Linked DNA regions of Ovis aries. The protein of the gene in region 1 binds, or shares a complex with, the protein of each later gene. Links are inferred from orthologs where the notes say so. Each region holds a gene or a part of one and is shown in the gene's direction. Other genes may lie near its edges.

Region 1 (3,500 bases):
TTATTTTTAAAAACAGACAAGCTAAAGTAAAAAATGATGCAGAGATGGTAAAGATAAACGGATGGTTAAAGATAAATAGAACATGAACAAATGTATTTGAGAGATTGTAAAATTCAGTGACAGTCCATGAAATGTGAAATTCCATGAAGTAGACTTTTTATAGTATGACAAAACTAGAACAACAAAACTTTTAAATTCGTAAATTACTTGGTAATGTAAAATCTATCTCGTGAAGCGATTAGCAAGAAAAAGGGAATACAAACCACAAAAACAGGAATTTAAAAGGTACTGAAACTATCATCTCAATAGAATTGTGGAATGCTACCAAAGGTGCTCTAAGGATTGTATTTAAAATGATGTTATTAGTACAAAGGTTGACAGATCAGTGGAAGAGAATAAATAAACCTCTTATGAGCTTCACATGATGAGCTTCCCCAGGGTTTTCATTTTCAAAATCCTTTCGTCTAGACTATAATTCTTTCTTCTGTTTCTAATTTTTGGTTATCTTTTTCCATTTATTAGTGTCCTCACGGTTTACCTTGATTGCCACTACATTCCTGGTACTGAGAAAACAGAAAAGTTAGCATTTGCTCTGTATTGATGTAATGGAAATTCAAGGTTATTAGGTATGACTGTCTTCAGAGAAAGGAGACAAAAGTGAGTTTCTGAACAGATTATCATTGATTTTCCTTGTGTGAGGCAATCTAGGATTGAACTTTGGGTTTTCTTTTTTAAGTAATTTCTGAATTTTTTTCTATTTTTAAATTTTCTGTTTTCTTACTGTTTTATGGATATATTGCTTCTAGAAACAGGATATGTGAAAATAAACCTTTAAGAAGATATTTTTATTAAATTTGATTAGGAAAGATTTTTGGAGGCTATGGCTTCAGAATTTATCCTTAAGGATTAGGTAGAATGTGGAAATATATTTTAGGTGAGCAGAAGAGTCTTAAAGATGGTAAAATATTGGGTATGTGGTGGAATACATTTTTCCATCTTTTCACGTATATTAGATATTCTAACTACTTTGAAGCATGAGGGTTTTCAATAATTGAACTTCAGTCTTCACTGGTTCCGTCATTTCTGGGAGAATTCTCTGACTTCAGTCTTTTATCCCTATGGTTTTAGCCATTCTGTTTTTGAACGCATCCCTTCAGCTTTTATTTCTGTCACTCAAAATTTTAGTTCTAACATCTGCAGTTGTTTTCCATCTCATATCTTTTTGAGTTTCTTAATATTAATTCTACTTATTTTAAATTATTTTGTTGATGCTGTTTGTTTTTCTTCCATGTTAATTTTTCTGTTTTATTGGAGTTGGTGGACTTCTCGATGCTGCTGCTTTCCCTCAGTGTCAGTTCTCAGTTGTTAATCATCTTTGTGTTTGAGAATTTTTTTCCTGCCTGTTGGTTGTTTTCAACATAACCCGCTTCTGCTGGTGGTGAGGGTTGTGCCTACCTGAGACAGGAAGCCATATGTCTAATCTGTTCAGCTGTTTTGTTCTCTGGGTGAAAGGCACCGTGTAACACAGCTGGAGGAGGGGAACAGAGCTGCCCTCCCAACTCTTCAGTTGGTCATCCTCAGGCTTATCCCTTCTTCTCGTATTCCTTGCCTGAGGTTATGGCTTCCCCAGAACCAGCCTTTTCTCTGGAGAAGTCTTTTCCTACAGTCTGTGGTTTTCTCTGGTAGTTTCTTAATGGATTTCTTAATGGATCTAATCCTGCCTGTTTTGCATCCTTGGGGAATTTCTCAAAATATTTATTTTATTACTAGTAACATTCCTTTTTGATTTCTAGCATTATTTTCTGTTTATTTCTTATTTTAAATAAGTTTGAATGGAGAAAGTTATTAATACAAGTATGTGCTTAGTCTGTCATTTGATTTAACTTGATAATATTTAATACCTAGCAGCCTTTTCAGTGAAATGCTTAGACTAATTGCACAGTAATCCTAGAGCTGTAAACCTTTGGTTTTTGAATTTAATTATGAAGCAAGATAAACGACCTGTGTGTGTTTTCTATTAGAGAACATGAAATACTTTAACCATAGCTCTTCTAGCAATTTCACTAATATCTCTTAATTAGGTTGAAATATGGATCATTTTGCCAGAGGAAAGTAACATTTGAGATTTGAGCAGTTAATTCACTTTTAAAAAGTCATTAACATGTTCCCCATGTTAGTTAACTCCTTTGATCTGAATTTATTCTTAAGATTGCTGGTCTAAGACTGGGAGAATAAGCAGGAAAACGCTCACCTAAGGCCCTAGAATGGTGTCACAGTGCTGGAGTAAAAAGTGAAATATTCTTTCCAGTATTGCATATTGTGAAACAGTCAACATGATTTTATCTTCACAGAACTAAACTGTGATTAGTTGACACTCTGTTATTGTGTCTTTTCCTAGCTTGATGCTGTTACAAGCAGTCTTCAGAAAATCAGGAAAACTGAAAGTGATGCTATAACTGCTGCTAACACTAAGAACCCAGAGAACAGTAAAACAATAACTAAAACCAAACCGAGAGATCCACAGCCAGCAACTGAAGACCCAGAAAATGATGTTCGTGTGGAGGATGACAAGCAAGAAAAGGCAAATAAAAAGGTTACGAAAACCGCGCTCCAGGTGACTGCACGAGAGACGGAGCCAGAAGCTCCTGAGAAGGGAGATGCGACGCCTCAGAAAACACGGACTAAGCCACAGCCAGGAGTGGCTCGTGACAAAGGTGGAAAGGCCAAGGAGGAAGGAGAAGACAGTGGTTTGGATGAGGAACAGCTGATGCAGGTATACCAGCTCCAGGTAGCTGAAGAAATGGCAAAGGAGATTAAGAAGAAAATCCGAAAGAAACTCAAGGAGCAGTTGTCTTACTTTCCCTTAGATTCTTCATTGCATGATGACAAATTGAGTGGTGAAAAACGAAAGAAGAAAAAAAAGAAAGTTCCCACCTTGTCTAAATCTCAAACAAGGTATGTTACATTGATAAATATACAATGTCCTCTTAAAAAAACACTATTTTCAGCTTTTGAGTGATTCCTGGAGTTTTGTTACTAAGTCCAAGCTCATAGAGCTTGCCTCATAAAAGGCCAGTAATTGTGAGAGACCAGTTGTTGGGGCAATGAATGGCAACTTTACTCAGAAAGCCAGCAAATTCAGAAGATGCTTCATGCCCCAGATAACCATCTTGCCTGAGATGGAATTCAGGCTCCTTCTGAGGAGGAGGGAGTACTAAACACTAAAAGGAGAGGGAGTCAAGTCAAACACTTTCTGGTTCCCATAAGCCTCCAGAGAGGGTCTGTTCATTTCTTTCTCTCTGCAGTCACTCACAGGTGGACCTGGTAAGGATGTTTCCTCTGAGCTAAACAAAGGTATTTTAGCTTAATTTTCACTACTTGGGGAGCAGCGTTTCCAGAGATGGGCCATTATGTATAATTTAAGCACACAGGCAACATCCTTTTAGTGATAAACTTGTAATAGAATACAAAAGGTTCTTGCTGTTAACAGTTCGCCCTGT
Region 2 (2,662 bases), on another chromosome or scaffold:
CAGAACAGGTGATTGACAAGTCAGATTTTGCTTTTAAAAGATCCCTCTGGGGACTTCCCTGGTGGTCCAGGGGTTGAGGATCCATCTTCCAATGCAGGGGAGATAGGTTCTATCCCTGGTCAGGGAACTAAGATCTCACATGCTGTGGGGCAGCTGGGTCCCCGTGACTACTGAGCCTATGGGCTCTGGAGCCCTAGTGCCACAACAGAAATCCCATGTGCCACAACTGAGACCTGACTCAGCCAAACAAATAAATAAACTTGAAAAAAAAAAAAAAGATTGCAGTTAAAAAAAAGATCCCTCTGGCTGTCTCACAGGTGACGGATTGGAAGGTGAGGCAGGCCACAGTCCTTTCAGCTCTTAAGGATCCCAAATATCCTTGCTGTTTCTTTTCTCATTCTATTAGGAAATCCCATTAGCTCCCCCTTTGGAATGCATCCTGAATGTCATCACTCCCCCGACCCCCATCACCTCTCACTAGGCTGTTACCATAGAGTCTTTACTGAGGTGTCCCTCCTGTGAACACCTAAGTCAGGCCACATTCCTCCTCTGCTTAGGACCCTCTGTGGTCCCCACATCACTCAAGGTAAAAGGCAAAGCCTTACCGTGGAAGGACAGGGCCCTGCTTGATCTGGTTCTGTCTCCCCTTCCCCGTCTGCTCCAGCCACATCAGTCCCACCAGGCAGCTCCCACCTTAGGGCCTTTGCACTAGCTGTCCCCTCTGCTGGGAGCACTCTTTCCTAGATAGCCATATAGCCCCCAGTCTCTTCCCTCCTTTAAGCACTGCCTCCGATGTCACCTCAGTAAATTTTTTCTTGATCACCGCCTTCTAAAACTGCATGCCTACCTACTCCCACCCTACCCAGCTTATTTTTCTCCAGAGCAGTTATCACCATCTGACATACCCTATAATTTGCGTATTTACTGTGTTGGTTGTCTAAGATGTCAGCTGCACAAGGGCAGAAATTTTTGTCTGCCCTGTTCACTGCTGTATCCCCAGCTTCTAGAACAGGGCCAAGCTCAGAGAGACTCAAAAAGGAGGGTGAAATGGGGCTGGATCTCCCAAGCACTTTGCCTATAGGGTGAGGAGCTGAACTGTATCTTGAGTGAGGAACTGAGAAATCTATGGAAAGGGGAGAAAGATGCTTCCAGCTGCCAGGTGAAAGATGATGAAGGCAAGAAAGAAGGCCCCGAGGCCAGGAAAGAGGACAGGGTGTGGCCATGGGGAGGGAAGGAAGGAGGCATCCAGGACCAGGCCCACCACCCTCACCTGGGGACTGGGCTCCCCAGATATGTGGACACAGAGGAGAAGGCCAACAGAGAATTCAACAGAGGCCAGACCTCAAGGGTCTAGAATGTTGAGGTTGGACTTTATACTGAGAGCATTAGGGAATCATGGAAGGGTTTTGAGCCGAGGAAGAACCTGGATTCAGAAAGATCCCTTTGGCTGCTCTGTGGTGGTCCAGAGGAGGAGGGTGGGGCAGAAACCTGGCAGGGGGTCTTCAGGAGTAAGAGGCTGGACTGTACCCCTTCACCTTTCCACCCTCCCCCCTATCCTGCAGGCTGGCCCCGGCTCCATCTCCAGGTGTGGTCCCAGGACAGCTTCGGCCGCTGCCAGCTTGCAGGCTATGGCTTTTGCCATGTGCCCAGCAGTCCAGGCACCCACCAGCTGGACTGCCCCACGTGGCGGCCCCTGGGCAGCTGGCGAGAGCAGCTGGCGAGGGCCTTCGTGGGCGGCGGGCCTCAGCTGCTGCATGGAGATGCCATCTACAGTGGGGCTGACCGCTATCGCCTGCACACCACCTCCGGGGGCACTGTGCACCTTGAGCTGAGCCTGCTGCTGCGCCACTTTGATCGGTATGGGGTTGAATGCTGAAGGAGCCTATAAGAATGGCTGGCCCCCAGCCATGTCTTGGGACACCCCATAAGGGGCAGGATGGTGCAGTGGTCAGAAGCATGGGCTTTGGAGACTGTGAGGCCAGACCCAGCCAAGGCTGGTGCAGCTTCTAACCTGACTAGCACCTCAAGCCCAGTGGCTACCCCTCCCAGGTCCAGTTTTCCCATCTGTAAAATGGGCTAGTAGGTGTGTGGGCTCACAGGGGTTGGGTGCAGAGAAGCTGCTGGCACGTGGAAGGGCTCAATAAAGATGTAGTGCTTTTCAAGTGTGGGTGCTTTTTTGACCTTCATCTGTCAGACGTGGGCCGGGGGTGGGGGGATTCCTCCTACTGTTACCCTCCTCAAGCCCCCTTCCCTTGCCCTCTGCCTCAGCGTCTGACCCCCTTCTCCACTCTGGGTGATGCTCTTAAGGGCCCCCACTCGTTGGAGGTTCCCCCCGCCCCGTGCCCCTTTCCCCAGTGGCTCCTTAGTTTCTGGCTGACCCTCTTCCCCTCTGCCCCGGTTTCCCACTCTCCACTCAGGGCAGTCCACCTCGAAGTCCCTGTATCCTGGGTCCCCATTCTCTGAGCCTTCCGCACTACGTAGGTCTTTATGCTCTCGCTGACCCCCGGCCCAGTCCTCAAACCCACAAGCATCACTGCCGCCCGCTTCGGTAGCGCTCGACCGCCAGGAGGCAGCACCCTGTTGGTGGGGCGGAGCCGGGTGTCCGCCCCCTCCCCCCGGGCTTAAGGGACCCCCCTTGGAGCCCGCCCACGCAAGATGCGGA
Region 3 (3,500 bases), on another chromosome or scaffold:
AAAGTTTTCATAGGAGAATTGTTTGCAGAAGCCTAAGGAATGGCACTGGAGAAGGCAACGGCCGCCCACTCCAGTGTTCTTGCCTGTAGAATCCCAGGGACAGGGGAGCCTGGTGGGCTGCCATCTATGGGGTCGCACAGAGTCGGGTACGACTGAAGCGACTTAGCAGCAGCAGCAGCAAGGACTGGAAGGACAGAAGGGGTAAATTATGGTATATATAGTGGAATATGTAATAGTAGTTACATGAATGAATCAATATTTATGAATCTTAGTTAAGCACACTGAAAATACCTATTTGCTATCCTCTCTAAATATGTTAAAGGGGAAAATTATATGTTCGCAGGATAAAATTACTAAAGTTTAGAAAAGTGAAAAGCAACACAGTATATTGTTTAGCAATATGAATATCTGTAGTTAAATCATGAACACATTTCACTAATTTGCCTGTCTCCACTGACTATAACGTAAACACCACAAGAGCAGGGATTCTGTTCATACGGGCTACATCCTCTTCACCTGTATAAGTGCCTGACACACAGAAGGTCTTCAATACATGTTGAATGAAGAGTGCTGAAAAAGCAAATTCAGATTGTGGTTACTTCTGTGAGAGAAAGGGTAATAAAACTGAGAAAGAACTACGCAGCACTGGAATTTATTTGTGATGCTTTACTTAAAAGTAGAGCTTAGGTGCACTGGCATCTGGGATATTATCCTAACTCAATGAAGAGTTCATAATTTTAAAAAAATTTAGAGAAGGATGTACAGCTACTAAAATAAACTGTAACTGATTCCTAAAAAATTTCTCAACTGTTTTTTTTTTTTTTCTTTTATAGCCGGAAGAGCTTATTTACCAGCGCACAGACCAGGTGGCTGCAGCTGAACTGCAAGACAGGTCACATGATAACCCATAAATCCACATGCAGTCTGTCACTAGGAGTGTTACTATCAAATGAAACAGTTCTCACCCTGGATCAGTGTGAACAGCAATTAAACTTTAATTCGTGTTTACAAAGTTCCGATGTGGTCTCTAAATCCCAAGGCTCTGGCATCAGCATGGTGTGAGCCACAGGGCAGTGAAGTCCAGCACTGATAGGTAGTTCTCCAGAAACTTCCCCCCAGATTAGAGTTCAACAGCATGCCACGCATGGGTACCGTGCAGCAATCTCACAATCCTTGGCTTAAATAGGCCCATTTTGTTCCATCAGTGGTTCAGTGAACTTCAGCTACTTTCTAAACCTAGCACATGGGATTAATAGATGATTAGTAAGAGCCTGTTTGAGGCCCATAATGCTTATCATGAACCCTGTTTTCCCAGTTTCACAAGGCTCAGAGAGGTCTGCGTACTTGTCAGGTGTTTAAGGGGCTACTGAGCCCAGCCAGACCTTTCTAGTTCCAAAGCCTGTGTGTCCTTTCTGCTGTCTCAGGCCACGGGAAGAGGTGCATGTCAAACTGTGCAGGATCACAGTGAGCCTTTTATGGTGTTATTACTAAAAAACATCAATTTACTCTCAACTCCAAATTTAAAATAAAGTTGTGAGGTCCTGAGAACAACTAATTCCTGGAAAAAAAAAAATCCTGTTTCTTCTAAAAGTTTCAAAATGCTATTTTTTTGTACTTCTGTTTACAAGGGAAAAGTCAAGTCACCCCAAAAAATGGAGCCTATTTTTTTTATAAACAGGATTGAAAAAATACTAAAAGAAAAAATCATGGACTGGCGGCCGCGCCACCTGACTCGGTGGAACAGATACTGCACCTCCATGCTGCGTCACTTCTTGCCTCTCTTAGAAAGGAACCAAGAAGACGTGGAGGACGACCACAGAGCAGAACTGCTCAAACAGCTGGGAGACTACAGGGTAAGCAGTCCATTTCGAATTGGAAAGTGCTTGGTACAATGGGCTTTGGAATCAAAACGCCTAGATTACTTCCCAAACTATTCAGATGAAGCAGCAGAGATTAAAAACTGTGAATAGAAGTTCCAAGCTCAGGAATGAACCCACCATTAAATAGCAGAATGTCTCTCTAAAACGGAAATATCACCATTTGTTTGGTAGGAGGATCCTATGAAAAATATCTTTTATAAAATCACAAGAGTATTACATAAAACAAAAATGTCTGGCTAAATCATGTTAGACTCAACTGAGCATAAAGGTGAAGCCAACCATTCTTGAGCAGACTTTAAGGATATGACTTTATCCTGATTGCTTTTCGTTGCTAAGAAAAATTCTCCTTCCTAGGCAACAGATATTCTCTGCTGTCAGCTGCGCTGTGTTCATACCCTATAGCTGGATACCAAAACCTAGAAAGCAGCGGCAAACTGAAACAGTAAGCCTCATTGGTCAACAGTATGAAGCCAAGCTGGACATTTTTAAAGCTATTTCATTTTACTTCTGGCTGCACTGGGTCTTTGTTGCTGCACACGAGCTTTCTCTAGTTGCAGCAAGGGCCACTCTAGCTGCGACGCGTGGACGTCTCACCGCGGTGGTTTCTCTGGTTGCAGAGCACAGGCTCTAGGCGCGTGGGCTGAGTAGCGGTGGTGCACAGGCTTAGCTCCCCACAGTATGTGGGGTCCTCCCGGACCAGGGACCAAACCCACGTCCTCTGCATTGGCAGGCGGATTCTTAACCACGGGACCACCAGGAAGGTCCCAAGTTGGACATTTAATTCTATTCAGTGACTAAAACTTACCCTTTAACTTCTAAGGCTAGGTTTCAGCTGCGATGCTTTCAAGTAACAGAAAACTTCTTATTTCAAACAAGCATGAGCATTAACAACCTATAGGCTTATTAGGGTAAATTTTAGGGGTAAGTAGCTATTGGGGCCATACCACATGTCTGCACGTCTTCCCTCTCTGCCCTCCTCCATGTGATGGCATCGTCCACAGACTGGTTTTCCTCATGGGAGCACAGGAATAGTTCCTGGTAGCACTCATATATGGACACACATGGGCTGGAACTGGGCTGGAATAGTTCCTGGTACGACTCACAAAGGGACACACATTGCTCCAAGCAGCAGAGAACATCTGTATGCCAGTATTTCTTACAAGTTTCCTAGATTACATACCCTCTTTCCTGTAGATCAACACTGAGGCCAGGTAGAATGTGTTAATCTACCCTAGGGTCCTGGTACTGCATGGGTTTCTTTCTATGCAAACTCGGGGCTATGATAAGGAGGAAGGGAACAGTGGAGGGTGGCTAGGTGATTAACAGGTATCTTAAACATCAAGTCAGTATGTTAGCAGTTAAAACACTTAGCCTCTCTCTATTTTCTATAATGTTAATATATAGCTGAATAGAAAAACAAAGCTAAATAAATGACTTTAAGACCCAAAAGGAAGACTTCCTACTTAGAACTGCACATACTTAATTAGGGGGAAAATACAGTGAAAACTTCACGTTCAGTAATGATTAAAATGTTGGTTGTTTTGTTTTCCTGCAGTTCTCTGGATTCCCCCTTCACATGCCATACTCCGAGGTGAAGCCTTTGATTGAAGCTGTGTACAG
Region 4 (4,092 bases), on another chromosome or scaffold:
TCAGTCTTTCTCAGCATCAGGGTCTTTTTCAATGAGTCAGTTCTTCACATCAGGTGGTCAAAGTATCAGAGTTTCAGCTTCAGCATCATTCCTTCCAGGAATATTCAGGACTGATTTCCTTTAGGATGGACTAGTTGGATCTCTTTGTTGTCCGAGGCACTCTCAAGAGTCTTTTCCAACACCATACTTCAAAAGCATCAATTCTTTAGCACTCAGCCTTCTTTATGATCCAACTCTCACATCCTCCATACATGACTACTGGAAAAACCATAGCTTTGATAATGAGCAACGGAGACGTATTCACACTCCAGTACTCTTGCCTGGAAAATCCCATGGACGGGGTAGCCTGGTAGGCTGCAGTCCATGGGGTCGCTACCAGTCAGACACGATTGAGCGACTTCACTTTCACTTTTCACTTTCATGCATTGGAGAAGGAAATGGCAACCCACTCCAGTGTTCTTGCCTGGAGAATCCCAGGGACGGGGGAGCCTGATGGGCTGCCGTCTATGGGGTCGCACAGAGTCGGACACGACTGAAGCGACTTAGCAGAGTTGGCAGCTAGTACAGCAGACGTACTCAATTATCCATCCACTCCACTAGCTGCCACCAGTGCTCAGGCAACCGGGACACGGGGGTGGCCCAGACCCGGTGTTCGTGGCGTAGGGCTCAGGGGAGAGGCGGCACTGGCTGGAGCTATCACAGTAATCGATGTGCAAAAGCGAACAGTGGGGAGCGCTGAGAGCAGGCGGACGGCCGAGCCCCGCGGGCTCGCCCCTCCCCGCCGGCAAGGTGCCGGGGCGGCCACTCAGAGGCCCGTTTTCCCGCGTCACGCGGAGACCTGCAGTCTTGGGCTTAAGGACCTTCCAGGTCCCTTCTCGGTTGGTCTAATAAACTTTTGGGAGGCGAGGGTCTCAAAGGCACGAGGGAGCATCTGTAGACCCGAGGCAGGGAGCTGCTGGCCCCACGGGGACTCTCGGAAGCGCGGCCGGACCCCGCCCCTTGGCGGCCTCGGGCTCCAGTCACACACTCCAACCGGCAGCGCGGTGGTCAGAGCGGACACACATTCCCGGGCGGTGGCCTAGGTCCCGCACCACCAGCTACATTCACGCGGGGTTCCTCGGGCGGACCGCCCCTCAGACGGACCAGGCGGCTGAGGCCCGCCTCCCACCGCACAGCGCCGCTCCGACTGCGCTTGCGCGCCGCGCCTTGTGCGCGTTTTCCCGAAGCTCCCGCTTCCATGAAACTTGTCCCGTGCGCCACGCCGTCGTCTCCAGGGCAACCCGGCGCCTCCTAGTAACCGCGCGGCCCGGCTATGGCGGCCGCGGGCCCCAGCGTGTTCCTGCTCATGGTCAACGGGCAGGTGGAGAGCGCCCAGGTGAGCGGCCGTGAGTCCTCCAGGGTCGAACCTCGGGGGAGGGAGCTAGCGTGACAGGCTTGGCGAGAGATCGCGCGGACCCTCCGCCACGAAGTGCGGTGGGGAAAAAGGCCTGGAGCGTTGAGCCAGGCCGAGGCCACAGTTGGCCGAGCCCACGTGAAGATTCGGGCAGGGGCCTCCATCCACCCCGCGACCCTCAGCTCCTCCCTCCGGCGCGGGTTGGTCTGACACAGCGATGGTGGCAGCTGTCCTGACCCGGAGGCTGTGTCTGTCCGACGGAAGGGGACAGTGCTTTCCAGTCCCCTGCATGTCCTAAGAACCGTTTGTTACTACTGGAAGACATGACATATGACAGTCTTCATGCCCAGCCCCGCTCAGCCAGTCCTCACAACAACCATTTGAAGTAGGTATTACTTGCACCCCCATTTTACAGATGGGAAGTTGCCCAAAGGAAGTGGCAAAACGAATTTCAAACCTTGTCTGATGTCAAAGCTTTGCTGGACTTGCCTTTCCAGGCTGTTTTAAAAATATTATGATTATATTGTGAGTACTAACCAAGGTGGTCTAGGTAAAGCTCCGTGGGATCTCTTAGCGGGCATCTCCCGCCTTCCTGTTTCATCAGGGTCACTGCCCCATGCCCCCACCCTGTCCACCTCCCCTTGGCCTGGTGCCTAAGGCCAGCCTCTCCTGTTCTGCTTTATCCCAGCAGGGGCCTCAGCTGGGCTGGGTCAGTGTGCCTGTGTTCTCAGCAGCCCCTCATCCCCACTCTTCCTCCCCTCTGCTCGAGGCCACTCTGCAGGCCATTGGCTCCCACCAAGCTTTGTGTCCTGGGAGCACCTGTCTTCTAGACCTTTCACTTCAGCATCACTCCTTAGTGCCCACCCTGTGCCAGGTGCTAGGGACACAGAAAGCCCACATACCTGTCCCTTGTTCACAGTCTAATGGAGCTGAGAGAATAAACATGGTCAGTGCTGTGATGGAGCACCAGGGGCTGTGGAAGCTGGGATGTGGCTCCAACAACCTGGAAGTCGGCAGGCTCCCCAAAGTGTCAGTTTTGAAGGGTGAGCAGGAGTACTCCCAGTGAAGGCATTCCTTCACTTCTCATTAGAAGGGCACGTCATACAGATGTCAGAGCCTGAGCAAAAGCCTGGGGGCAGCACTGTCCCTGGACTATCCCACATCTTGAGACCAGACCTTCCAATGAACTCCGTATCCATGCACCCTGCTCTCTCAGCCCCCGCCCCCTAGGTGCCTCATGTTCAGAGTTGCTGGTGGCTGTACCTGCCTAGCTAACAGGTGGTCACAGCATGAGTCCCTGTGAGCAGAAGCTGTGTGTGCTTATTTCCACAGTTTCCTGAGTACGACGACCTCTACTGCAAGTACTGTTTCGTGTATGGCCAGGACTGGGCCCCCACAGCGGTAAGCTGGACCCTACAGCCTCCCAGACTCACAGCTTTTGTGACTGAAGGGGTTTCTGAAGGCTCCATTGCACCCTTTCCCCTCCCAATTCAGAACCAGTTAAGAGTTCAGGGGTGGCACACACGTGAGTTTGTTCCCAGTGAGGCCGGAGCAGAGAATGCAGAGATCCCTGATCCACCCCTAAGACTGTGGTCGCTCCTGGGCCCTGCCCTGCAGCGAACAAAGCCAGACCAGCCCAGCTCTGCTGGGGCCACTTGCCTGAGAGGGAGACAGACTCACGCTCCAGGCTGTTGGCTAGTAGCGGTGCTGAGGGGAAAGTGAAGGCAGGAAGGGGAGGGATGAAGAGGCCAGAAAAGGCCTCCTTAAGACAGTTTAAAAAAAAAAAAAAAAAGATGGTAACTGAGCGTAGAGCTGAAGGAAGCAGGGGGATGGGCCAAGTAGAAGGCTGTAGAATAAACTAGCCAGGCAGAAAGACAGGGGAGAGGGCAACAGCCTGCTGGACCATACCCTATTCCGCAGGAGGTGCAGGTGGAGCTTGGGCACCGGGAGAGGGGAGGGGCCTCAAGGTTTCAGGTCCTAATGGATAGAAACCCTCAAAGACCTGGGAGCCACTCTGTCACATCTTAGGTCCCTTTGTTTGGCAGAAGATGGTGATGAAAACAGCTCTCAGCTGCCACCTCAGAGGTAGGGTGGGTGGGCATGGCAGCCTGGAGCTGGGACACTGGCCGTCACTGTCATTGTCCTTGCAGGGGCTGGAGGAGGGCATCTCACAGATCACCTCCAAGAGCCAAGATGCGAGGCGGGCGCTGGTGTGGAACTTCCCCATCGATGTCACCTTTAAGAGCACCAACCCTTACGGCTGTGAGTCTGCAGGCCTCGTCCTGCCCATCCATGGGGCCCTCTACCAGCCTTGTCAGGTGCTATCAGACACCTGGCTGTTTTCCCCTCCTTCCCACTGTGTGCACTTGACCTTTCCGAGGTTCTGAGGAAGTCGGTGAAGCCCAGCGTGAAACCTTGGGCAGTGACTGCCTGCGAAGGTCAGAGCCTGGTGTCTGGGGCTCAGCAGTCTGGCCCCTCAACAGCTCTCCCCCGTCCATCACCACTGTGCTCCCGCCAGTCCCGACCCCCCTGCTCCTCCTCCAACACCCTGCCCTGAGCCAGGGGTAGGCCCTTCTCTCTGCCATGGGCACCGAGCCCTCATCCTACCTCTGATCTCCCAAAGTTCTCCTTGCCAATATCTGCAGGGTTTGTTGTCCACTGTACCTGGTCGTCTGTGATCACTCTCACTTAATGAATGT
Region 5 (2,947 bases), on another chromosome or scaffold:
AGTGATAATGCCTAAAGATTTCAGTGTTCTTCCAGGCCCTTCATAATTAAGCCCCACCCAGCCTATCCCACTGTATTTTGTGCTTTTTCCTAACACAGACATCCATTCCAGGCTGATGTGTTGTTTCCCAGTCATATTCTTTCCACATTTTTGCTTATTTAAGTTCTTGCCTTTTCCTCATTCTGCTGCTGCTACTGCTGCTAAGTCACTTCAGTCGTGTCCAGCTCTGTGCAGCCCCATAGGTGGCAGCCCACCAGGCTCCCCTGTCCCTGGGATTCTCCAGGCAAGAACACTAGAGTGGGTTGCCATTTCCTTCTCCAATGCATGAAAGTGAAGTCGCTCAGTCATGTCCGACCCTCAGTGACCCCATGGACTTCAGCCTTCCAGGCTCCTCTGTCCGTGGAGTTTTCCAGGCAAGAGAACTGGAGTGGGGTGCCATTGCCTTCTCCGCTTCCTCATTCTATCTAACTTTAAAAGCCTACCTCCTTGAATTATTTCTTTTACCTACCCTGTTTACTCTGTTAGAGCATTTAGTCTATTACTCTAAGTGGTACGTACGTTTCATTATTCACTTAAGTGTAGTAATGTAGGACTGTCACATAAGGTAGTTTCCTCTTTCAGTCTAGACTGTAAGTTCCCTGAGGATAAGGACCACACTATACTTATTTTGAATTACAGAGCTCAAAATGTAGGTTCACAGTAGTATCACTTGCTTCAGCACAAGCAGAAGATGGTACTTCACTGGTCTGATGTTTGTCGTGTGTATCATTGCAGGTTCCTGAGTTGGCTGGCTTCTGGCTTCTGAGCCTTCTGTTGCAGTTGCCTTTAATTCTTTTCTTGCTCTTCAATGAGGGCCTAACAAATCTGCCCTTGGAGAAAGCAGTACATATCATCTTCACTATATTCCTTACTTTCCAAGTTGTTTCAGCATTTCTTACCTTGAGGAAAATGGTAAATCAGCTGGCAACTCGTTTCCACCTCCAAGACTTTGACCGGCTGTCTGCGAGCCGAGGAGACATGAGAAGAGTGAGGTCCTGTATAGAAGAGATTTGACCCAGTGCTGTTGAATAAGCATCTGGAGGATCATTCTAGAAGACTGCAGGAAAACACCAGAGGGCTAACACAATAAAAGGGACAAAGCAAGTGTTTTGAACTGTATCCTCCCTGGCTCTGAAATTCCAAGGCTGGACACAATGATAAGACTGTACAGCACGTGAAAGCAGTAAATCAACCCTAAAGCCTGCATGTTGTCTACCTGATGTCAAATATCTTAAATTTTTTGTTGTTGTCAATGTTTTCAGGTGTGTAGAGATCTATATTGGTGGCGTTACATCTTTACTGTAATATCTCCAGTTAGTACCTGTAACTAGAAATGTGTATATTTCTTTCACTATTGTTGGCCTATCCATGTCTTGGCAGTACGTATGAAGTATGTGGAGATGCTGGTCAGTATTCTGATGTATTAGACTACATTTGTAAACAGACACCAAATTTTCATGTCTGCTAGGGTCTTAGCTATTATACTGAGGTTAAGAAGAAAGCAGGTAGATTGTGATGATATTTAGGAAATGTTTTTATCCTAAAATTGTTATTTTCATACAGCCATGTTCAGTATTTATGGTGGTGGTGTGCAAAATGTCTTCACAATAAGTTATAAAATATTTATGTTGAGCTATCTTTAGAAATCATTCTTGTCTTTTACAGTTCTTTTGGGCTGTGGGTTTATTTTTATTATAAAGTTAAAAGAGAAAAGTACATGTATTTGAGAGCCTTCTATGTAATTTGCCACTGTCCTGGGTACATTAACCCTTATGATCTTATCTATTAAGTCATTATTCACTGAAGAACTGCTCATACCCAGTAAATTCACATGAAGATTGATCTGATAATCAGGGTGCCTGTTAATATATAGAGTTTGGATGGCCCAAAGGACTCATGATCATAAATGAGCATATTCCCTTGCTAATAGGAGAAACCTATTTAAGGAAATTCTGTTAAGAACAAAGCTTGCTTGGGTATATCTGAACCATTAATTTTAAGTGATAATTGGGTTGTCTTAAGAGATACAATATTTTCTTTCCTAAAGTATTGTATTTTATTGAGAGATAGTTGTAGCTACATTAAAAATCATTTTTTCTATCCTTCCTGTTTTGTGATTCATGCTTATCTTAGGATTTCCACATTATGCCTTATTCATTTTTATGTTGCTTAATTTTGAAAATGTTTTCACTTCCCACTGTTAATCACACCTTACTATTCTGTTTATGCTCTTTTTATTATTTCTGCTTTTTATTATTATATATAATGTTCAGTCAAAGTTTTCTTCCCCTGTACACTAACTAATTAACCTTTGCCCTATACCAAAGCTGTCACTAGGTATATTCCAATACTTTGAAATTCAAAATAGAATTCTGTTTGAATAGTTTAATAAAATGTATTTGTTCACATTTTTTTCCAGATAGATGAGTTTATAAGAAAATATAAAATAAGAACACTAAATCTACATAACAGATAAATTAAGGTGATGATCAAGAAAGACTTTTCTATTTAACAATCATTTCCAGAGTTTTATTTTAAATAGCAGAGCCTCTTGATACATTTAAACTTTAAGGTAAATCACTAAAAGTATAAAGAATAACAATAAAAAAAGTTTAATGGTTAAATGGGGGAATATATGTTTATAAAAATTTTAAAAGTTTTTGTTCTAATAATTATTGCTTAAAATGTAGATATAATGAGGGTAAGAAAAAAGAAACTAAGAAAATCAATTGAGAACATGATCAAGTCATTGGTTTTTCATAAAACAATAGAACCATGATTTTGTGTTAGTCTGAACCAACATTTTCTATTTGGTGTATATACATGGTGCTCTATGTATGCATAGGAAAATTGAGATAGGAAAGACATTTCCATGTCAGCACATTTGGAGTTTAGGCAATCTGTATTT
Region 6 (3,500 bases), on another chromosome or scaffold:
GTGCTCTGCATATAAGTTAAATAAGGAGGGTGACAGTATGCAGACTTGACATACTCCTTGCTCAATTTGGAACCAGTCTGTTGTTCCATGTCCAGTTCTAACTGTTGCTTCCTGACCTGCATACATATTTCTCAAGAGGCAGGTCAGGTGGTCTGTATTCCCATCTCTTTAAGAATTTTCCATACTTCGTTGTGATCCACACAGTCAAAGGCTTTGGCTTAAAGCAGAATTAGATGTTTTTCTGGGACTCTCTTGCTTTTTAGATGATCCAGTGGATGTTGGCAATTTGATCTCTGGTTCCACTGCCTTTTCTAAATCCAGTTTGAACATCTGGAAGTTCATGGTTCACGTACTGTTGAAGCCTGGCTTGGAGAATTTTGAGCATTACTTTACTAGCATGTGAGATGAGTGCAATTGTGCGGTGGTTTTAACATTGTTTGGCTTGCCTTTCTTTGGGATTTGAATGAAAAGTAACGTTTTCCAGTCCTGTGGCCACTGCTGAGTTTTCCAAATTTGCTGGCATATTGAGTGCAGCCCTTTCATAGCATCATCTTTCAGGATTTGAAATGGCTCAACTGGCATTCCATCACCTACTAGCTTTGTTCATTGTGATGCTTCCTAAGGCCTACTTGACTTCACATTCCAGGATGTCAGGCTCTAGGTGAGTGATCACACCATCATGGTTATCTGGATCATGAAGATCTTTTTTGTATAGTTCTTCTGTGTATTCTTGCCACCTCTTAATATCTTCTGTTTCTGTTAGGTCCATACTATTTCTGTCCTTTATTGTGCCCATCGTTGCATGAAATGTTCCCTTGGTATGTCTTAATTTTCTTGATGAGATCTCTAGTCTTTCCCATTCTATTGTTTTCCTCTATTCTTTACGTTGATAACTGAGGAAGGCTTTCTTATCTCTCCTTGCCATTTTTTGGAACTCTGCATTCAGATGCTTATATCTTTTTCTTGTTTGCCTTTAGCTTCTCTTCTTTTCTCAGCTATTTGTAAGCCCTCCTCAGACAACCATTTTGCCTTTGTGCATTTCTTTTTCTTGGGGATCGTCTTGATCAATGCCTCCTATACAATGGCACGTAGTTCTTTAGGCACTTTGTCTATCAGATCTATTTCCTTGAATCTATTTTTCACTTCCACTGTGTAATCGTAAGGGATTTGATTTAGGTCATACCTGAATGGTCTAGTTGTTTTCCTACTTTCTTCAATTTAAGTCTGAATTTGACAATGGGGAGATCATGATCTGAGCCACAGTCAGCTCCCTGTCTTGTGTTTGCTGACTGTATAGAGCTTCTCCATCTTTGGCTGCAAAGGATATAATCAGTCTGATTTCGGTATTGACCATCTGGTCATGTCCATGTGTAGAGTCTTCTCCTGTGTAGTTGGAAGAGGGTGTTGGCTATGACCAGTGTGTTCTCTTGGCGAAACTCTGTTAGCCTTTGACCTGCTTCATTTTGTACTCCAAGGCCAAATTTGCCTGTTACTCCAGATGTTTCTTGACTTCCTACTTTTGAATTTCAGTCCCCTATAATGAAGAGGACATCTCTTCTGGGTGTTAGTTCTGAAAGGTCTTGTAGATCTTCATAGAACCATTCAACTTCAGCTTCTTCAGCATTACTGATTGGGGCATAGACTTGGATTACTGTGATATTGAATGATTTGCCTTGGAAATGAACAGAGATCATTCTGTCATTTTTGAGATTGCATCCAAGTACTGCATTTTCGACTCTCTTGTTGACTGTGAGGGCTATTCCATTTCTTTTAAGGGATTTTTGCCCACGGTAGTAAATATAATGGTCATCTGAGTTAAATTCACCCATTCCAGTCCATTTTAGATCACGATTCCTAAAATGTCAATGTTCACTCTTGCTATCTCCTGTTTGACCACTTCCAATTTTCCTTGATTCATGGACCTGACATTCCAGCTTCCTATGCAACAGTTGTCTACACTGATACAAAGCTTTCTCTATAAACTGTCAGGGTGGCTCACTGTGCGCTATGCTCACAGTGAGATTTATGCTGAGCACCTGCTTTTCTTCTGGGAGTCTAGAATTTTGGTATGTGTTTGGCACGAGGTGCCTCTGTGATCACTCCCCAGTAAAATTCCTGGCTGCTAAGTGACTGATGAGCTTCCCTGGAAGAGAAAGGAACACATATGTCGTTACAACTTGTTGCTGGAAGAATTAGCACATCCTGTGTGACTTCATTGATAGAGGACTCTTGGAAACTTGGACTTGGTTTCTTTGGGACTTTGTTCCATGAGCTTTTTCCTTGTTCTGATTTTGTTTTGTGTCTTTTTCCTGTAATAAACTGTAACTGTGAGTGTAAATGACTTGTGAGTCCGTTGAGTGAATCATAGAACTTGGAGGTAATCTTGGAGTTCTGACACACCCTCGATGTTGGATGACTTGATTTTTCTTTTTTCATGTTGTTTGGCATCATGATTTCAAATTGTCTGTTGAGTGTTTAGAGGTGTAAAATTTTAAAAATTAATAAGATGGTGAAAAAGATTGGGGGCCAATTAGAATTCTTAAAGTTCTTTTGTCTTACAGAAGTCTTACATGCTACTTTTCTTTTTTGCATCATAGTTATTTAAAAACTTAATCTGCTTTATTTTCAGAATTGGAGACTGCCTTTACCCAGAAGAAGACAGCTAGTCCATCTTTATTACCAAATGAAAACGGTATCAATGTGGAGCCAGATGAGGAGCCAGTTATTCAGAAACCTCGAAGGAAGACGAAGTAAGGATTTATTTGTCCTTCTAAATATTCTGCAGAGACACCCTGATGCTTAATTTGGAGCTCCCAAACAGCAGCTTCTAAGTCTTATTAAATGCTTGTAGTTGTGTATCTCTAGGATAAGTAGTATTACGAATGTATTAGTTAAACTAATCTAAGGATAACTTTGAAAAGAGTAAGCCCACTGAGAAAAGTAAAATATTATATTTAAATAAATAAAATATTTTAGGAGCTGAATCTAAAGAAGAGGAACACAAATAGAAGATTTTATATAAGTAGTAAAAGTATTACATCAGTTCAGTTCAGTCGCTCAGTTGTGTCCGACTCTTTGCGACCCCATGAATTGCAGCACGCCAGGCCTCCCTGTCCATCACCATCTCCCAGAGTCCACTCAGACTCACATCCATCGAGTCCGTGATGCCATCCAGCCATCTCATCCTCTGTTGTCCCCTTCTCCTCCTGCCCCCAATCCCTTCCAGCATCAGAGTCTTTTCCAATGAGTCAACTCTTCACATGAGGTGTCCAAAGTACTGGAGCTTCAGCTTTAGCATCATTCCTTCCAAAGAAATCCTAGGGTTGATCTCCTTCAGAATGGACTGGTTGGATCTCCTTGCAGTCCAAGGGACTCTCAAGAGTCTTCTCCAACACCACAGTTCAAAAGCATCAATTCTTCGGTGCTCAGCCTTCTTCACAGTCCAACTCCCACATCCATACATGACCACAGGAAAAACCATAGCCTTGACTAGACGGACC
Region 7 (3,500 bases), on another chromosome or scaffold:
GTGGCACCCGCACTGCCTGATGTCGGCACATGGTCTACTGACTTACTCTCTGCCTCCCTGGCTGGGAATGGAAGCTCCGCTGTGGTGGGGACTTTGTCCATTTTGTTTGCCACTCTATTCCCAGAACCTGAAGCAATGCCTGGCACCTCTGGCACATAGTAGGCCCTCAGAAAATATTTGCCAGGTTAATGAGCGGATTTAACAAGCAGACACCAGTTATGGTGCTGTACCAGATCTCTGTCCTCTGTGAACCTGGAGTAAAAGCATGCTGGTTTTTTTGCAAAAAGATCTTTCATAACCAACATCTGCTCCTTGAGTTTAAGTCTGGACATTTTAGTCCTGGAAACAGGACCAGATTTGAAGTCAGATATGTGGCTTCATATCCTGTCTTTACCAATACTAGCTGTACTCCATAAATCCTTTAATCTCCCTGAGACTTGATTTTCTCACATATGCAATGGGAATAGTAGTTGCTCTGCTTACCTTTGACTGATTGTAAAGGTCAAATGAAATGTGTCTCTCCCTCTGAGACTGTCTGAGAGTCCAGATTCTTCTGGTATTTCCCTCCTGACCACTATCCTTCCTCTCTCAAAAGTTGTTGATCTTTGTCTTCCTGTATAACCCTCAAGATCCAGAAAAGTTATGGATCTACCACAGAGAGGTAACCTGACTTTGTCTTCCAAGTCTTCCCAGATATCAGCTGAAAGAAAAAATGCTCAGGAAGACAAGGCAGCCTCTTTTCCATCCTGCTCATAATTGCTGATACATAATTGCCTCGGTAACCTGATCGTCAGCCCTGGTAACAGATATCCCTGTGCTGCACCTGCAAAGCCGACAGAACGAGAGAGAGAAAATAGCATCCAACAGAAGAGAGAGGGTAGACTTCTCCATAACAAGGCCCAGGATAAGGACATTATTGTCTAGAAGGAAAGAAATGATTGAAAGGTTCTGAAAACTGAGATAACGCCATCTCAAGCGACCTTATTAGCCTGAGAAAGAACAAAGAATCTCTTCCCCCACATAGAGGTATGGAGGAGAACCACATGACTCAGTAGATGGGGAATCGGGGGGAATATGCTGATACACCATCGCAGAGTCCTTCTGGGAGCCTTCGGAAAGGATGAGTTGTAACAGCGAGGTCCAGAGTTGCACCACGGAATCATGTCCCCAGTGATCACATCTCAGTGACCGTCTCTCCTGCTCGTCCTCTTAGGGTCACTGTGAGGCGAGACTGGATTCTGGCGGTTTTTTGTGAGCTATGATCTGTCTTTCTCCCTCCTTGGATCTCTGTTCTCACTGCCTTCATGTCACTAATTTATAAAGTACCTATGGAGTCTTAGTGCCTTACTGATTTTACTTTAGCTTTCTTTTCCATTGTACTGATTGGTACTACAAGATACACCACATTTTAAAGCCCTGACATCAGTCCAACGTTGAGAATCTGAAGCAAAGACATTGTGGTTAAAGAACATATAAACAGAGCCTGGTGTTTTTCTGCTGAGTCTGTTTGGGAAATGCAGAATGATTGGGGTTTTTTCGAAATCTGTTCTTAGGTGCTATTTAAACCTTCCCTATAAACTCAGGCATATTTCTTAAAAGGAAAGAAAACACCAGCAACAAACCAAAAAAGGTCAAATGAGACAACTGAAAAAGAATAACGCTTCCAGATGTTGCATTGCTTTCATTGCCGCTTCCAGGTCCCAGCCAGTTTGGCCCTAGAATATTTAGAAGTGCGAGTGTGCAGTTCAGGGGCCCTGTCTCTTTCCCCAGTATTGATCCACCTATAACTATTCCATGTTCTCTTTCTTCTTTCGGTGAGAGATGTAATGCCTGTGTGTGGCAGAGTCACTGTGTATGTCCAACGTACTCCATGCTGTGGAGTCCTCCTGGACTTATTAAGGACCAGGGTCATCAGCATTTTTGGGTTTCCTAGGCCAGAGAAGAAGACAGGAACCAGGATGGGAAAATGGACATGTTGCACTTTAAACTGGAGCTTCCCCTGCAGTCCACAGAGCAGGTTCTAGGTGTGCAGCTCATCCTGACTTTCTCCTACCAACTGCATGTGAGTTACCTCCCTTTTGTCTTTACTTTTTTCGTAGTTTTTATTTTACCTATTTATTTTTTGGCTGCGCATGTGGGGTTTCTCTAGTTGTGGTGAGTGGGGGCCACTCTGGCTTGCAGTGCGAGGGCGTCCTTGATTTGGAGCGCAGCTCTGGCTTTAGTTGCTCTGCAGCACGTGGAATCTTCCAGCCCAGGGATCGAACCTGTGCCCCTTGTATTGGCAGGCAGAGTCTTATCTACTGCACCACCAAGGAAGTCCTCCCTTTTGTCTTTCAATAGAACAGAGCCCCCCTTTCTGATTTCTGGGAAAACTCGCACTGCAGAAGACTCTTTGCAGAAGTGTCATTTAGGATTTAGCTGCCGAAGTTAAATTTGAATGTTTTTCGCGGAGGCCACATTAATTTCCATGAGCTATTAATAGCTCCAGGGGTTCTGGGCAGAGCGCTTCCTGCATGGCTAAGCTCAGCACTAGGGGGACGGCTTAGCTTCAACCACAGATGGGTGATGCTCAAAACCCGCAACCATTCGGCTCTGACTGAAATTGATATGGTCTCTCTTTCTAATGATTTCAGAGGATGTCTACATTCGTGATGCAGAGCATGGCGTTTCTCCAATCCTCCTTCGCTGTTCCGGGGTCCCAGTTACATGTGAATGGAGACCTGAGGCTGCAGCAGAAGCAGCCCCTCGGCTACAGAGGCCTGGACGTCCGGTACAACGTAGGGACGCTTCACACTGCCGATCTCTTTTGCTACTGTATTGTATTGTTTATCAAGCGCTTTGAAGAGGGAGCAAGTAGCATTGGAAATAGCACTTCTCTGTGAGTGGCACAGAAAAGGATCTCTGAGGAATTCTTTCCGTGAATCCTTTCGAAATATGGTGACAGATATCTCTGTTTACATCTTCAAAAAAGAGGGAGAAGAATCTGTGTCTTTATCTAAGAACTGGATTATTTATAGTTTTGGGGTTTGCATGCACACGCAGTGTAGTTCACATGGTCTTTCTTTGCTAAGCTTATAACAGGCCAGCCCCGAGTTAAGAGGTTTAACTACATCGTCTCATCCAGTCATCGCAGCAGCCTCATGAGACGCCTTCTGTTGCCGTTCTCCGCTCTCCAGCGGCTTGTCCTGTCACTGTCCCCCTTGCTCCTTTCCAGCCCCGGGGTCCATTTTGCTGTTCCTCAAACCTACGAAGCAGCTCCTGCCTCAGGGCTTTTGCGCTTACCTTTTCCTCTACCAAGTACCCACATCGCTCACCCTACTGCTCCGTCTGGCCCCTGGTCAAAGCTCCTGAGCACAGTCCTTGCTCGACACGCCTTCTAAAGACCATCCACCTGACCCTCCATCATCGCTCACCCAGGTTTACTCTGCTTACCTTCACCTGAAATATGAAAGGGAGGTTTCCAGTTTGTTCATTTGCCGTCTCCCTCATTGGTAAAGGGG

Evidence for each region.
Region 2: AHI1 (region 1) and B9D2 share a complex: the UniProt entries of both Homo sapiens proteins name them as parts of the tectonic-like complex. The link is inferred for Ovis aries from reciprocal best matches to the Homo sapiens genes AHI1 and B9D2.
Region 3: AHI1 (region 1) and CC2D2A share a complex: the UniProt entries of both Homo sapiens proteins name them as parts of the tectonic-like complex. The link is inferred for Ovis aries from reciprocal best matches to the Homo sapiens genes AHI1 and CC2D2A.
Region 4: AHI1 (region 1) and B9D1 share a complex: the UniProt entries of both Homo sapiens proteins name them as parts of the tectonic-like complex. The link is inferred for Ovis aries from reciprocal best matches to the Homo sapiens genes AHI1 and B9D1.
Region 5: AHI1 (region 1) and TMEM17 share a complex: the UniProt entries of both Homo sapiens proteins name them as parts of the tectonic-like complex. The link is inferred for Ovis aries from reciprocal best matches to the Homo sapiens genes AHI1 and TMEM17.
Region 6: AHI1 (region 1) and TMEM237 share a complex: the UniProt entries of both Homo sapiens proteins name them as parts of the tectonic-like complex. The link is inferred for Ovis aries from reciprocal best matches to the Homo sapiens genes AHI1 and TMEM237.
Region 7: AHI1 (region 1) and TMEM231 share a complex: the UniProt entries of both Homo sapiens proteins name them as parts of the tectonic-like complex. The link is inferred for Ovis aries from reciprocal best matches to the Homo sapiens genes AHI1 and TMEM231.

The regions. Positions count from the first base shown.
Region 1 is NC_056061.1:60,789,912-60,793,411, reverse strand, and holds part of AHI1 (jouberin), read left to right. Parts: intron 1-2,398; coding exon 2,399-2,955; intron 2,956-3,500. UniProt on the Homo sapiens protein: Involved in vesicle trafficking and required for ciliogenesis, formation of primary non-motile cilium, and recruitment of RAB8A to the basal body of primary cilium.
Region 2 is NC_056067.1:50,063,066-50,065,727, reverse strand, and holds the end of B9D2 (B9 domain-containing protein 2), read left to right. Parts: intron 1-1,562; coding exon 1,563-1,876; 3' UTR 1,877-2,162; downstream 2,163-2,662. UniProt on the Homo sapiens protein: Component of the tectonic-like complex, a complex localized at the transition zone of primary cilia and acting as a barrier that prevents diffusion of transmembrane proteins between the cilia and plasma membranes.
Region 3 is NC_056059.1:111,425,731-111,429,230, forward strand, and holds part of CC2D2A (coiled-coil and C2 domain-containing protein 2A), read left to right. Parts: intron 1-833; coding exon 834-892; intron 893-1,678; coding exon 1,679-1,853; intron 1,854-3,435; coding exon 3,436-3,500. UniProt on the Homo sapiens protein: Component of the tectonic-like complex, a complex localized at the transition zone of primary cilia and acting as a barrier that prevents diffusion of transmembrane proteins between the cilia and plasma membranes.
Region 4 is NC_056064.1:33,860,203-33,864,294, forward strand, and holds the start of B9D1 (B9 domain-containing protein 1), read left to right. Parts: upstream 1-1,292; 5' UTR 1,293-1,312; coding exon 1,313-1,375; intron 1,376-2,725; coding exon 2,726-2,794; intron 2,795-3,543; coding exon 3,544-3,655; intron 3,656-4,092. UniProt on the Homo sapiens protein: Component of the tectonic-like complex, a complex localized at the transition zone of primary cilia and acting as a barrier that prevents diffusion of transmembrane proteins between the cilia and plasma membranes.
Region 5 is NC_056056.1:45,739,197-45,742,143, forward strand, and holds the end of TMEM17 (transmembrane protein 17), read left to right. Parts: intron 1-774; coding exon 775-1,053; 3' UTR 1,054-2,447; downstream 2,448-2,947. UniProt on the Homo sapiens protein: Transmembrane component of the tectonic-like complex, a complex localized at the transition zone of primary cilia and acting as a barrier that prevents diffusion of transmembrane proteins between the cilia and plasma membranes.
Region 6 is NC_056055.1:203,952,349-203,955,848, reverse strand, and holds part of TMEM237 (transmembrane protein 237), read left to right. Parts: intron 1-2,629; coding exon 2,630-2,750; intron 2,751-3,500. UniProt on the Homo sapiens protein: Component of the transition zone in primary cilia. Required for ciliogenesis.
Region 7 is NC_056067.1:2,332,056-2,335,555, reverse strand, and holds part of TMEM231 (transmembrane protein 231), read left to right. Parts: intron 1-1,933; coding exon 1,934-2,062; intron 2,063-2,633; coding exon 2,634-2,777; intron 2,778-3,500. UniProt on the Homo sapiens protein: Transmembrane component of the tectonic-like complex, a complex localized at the transition zone of primary cilia and acting as a barrier that prevents diffusion of transmembrane proteins between the cilia and plasma membranes.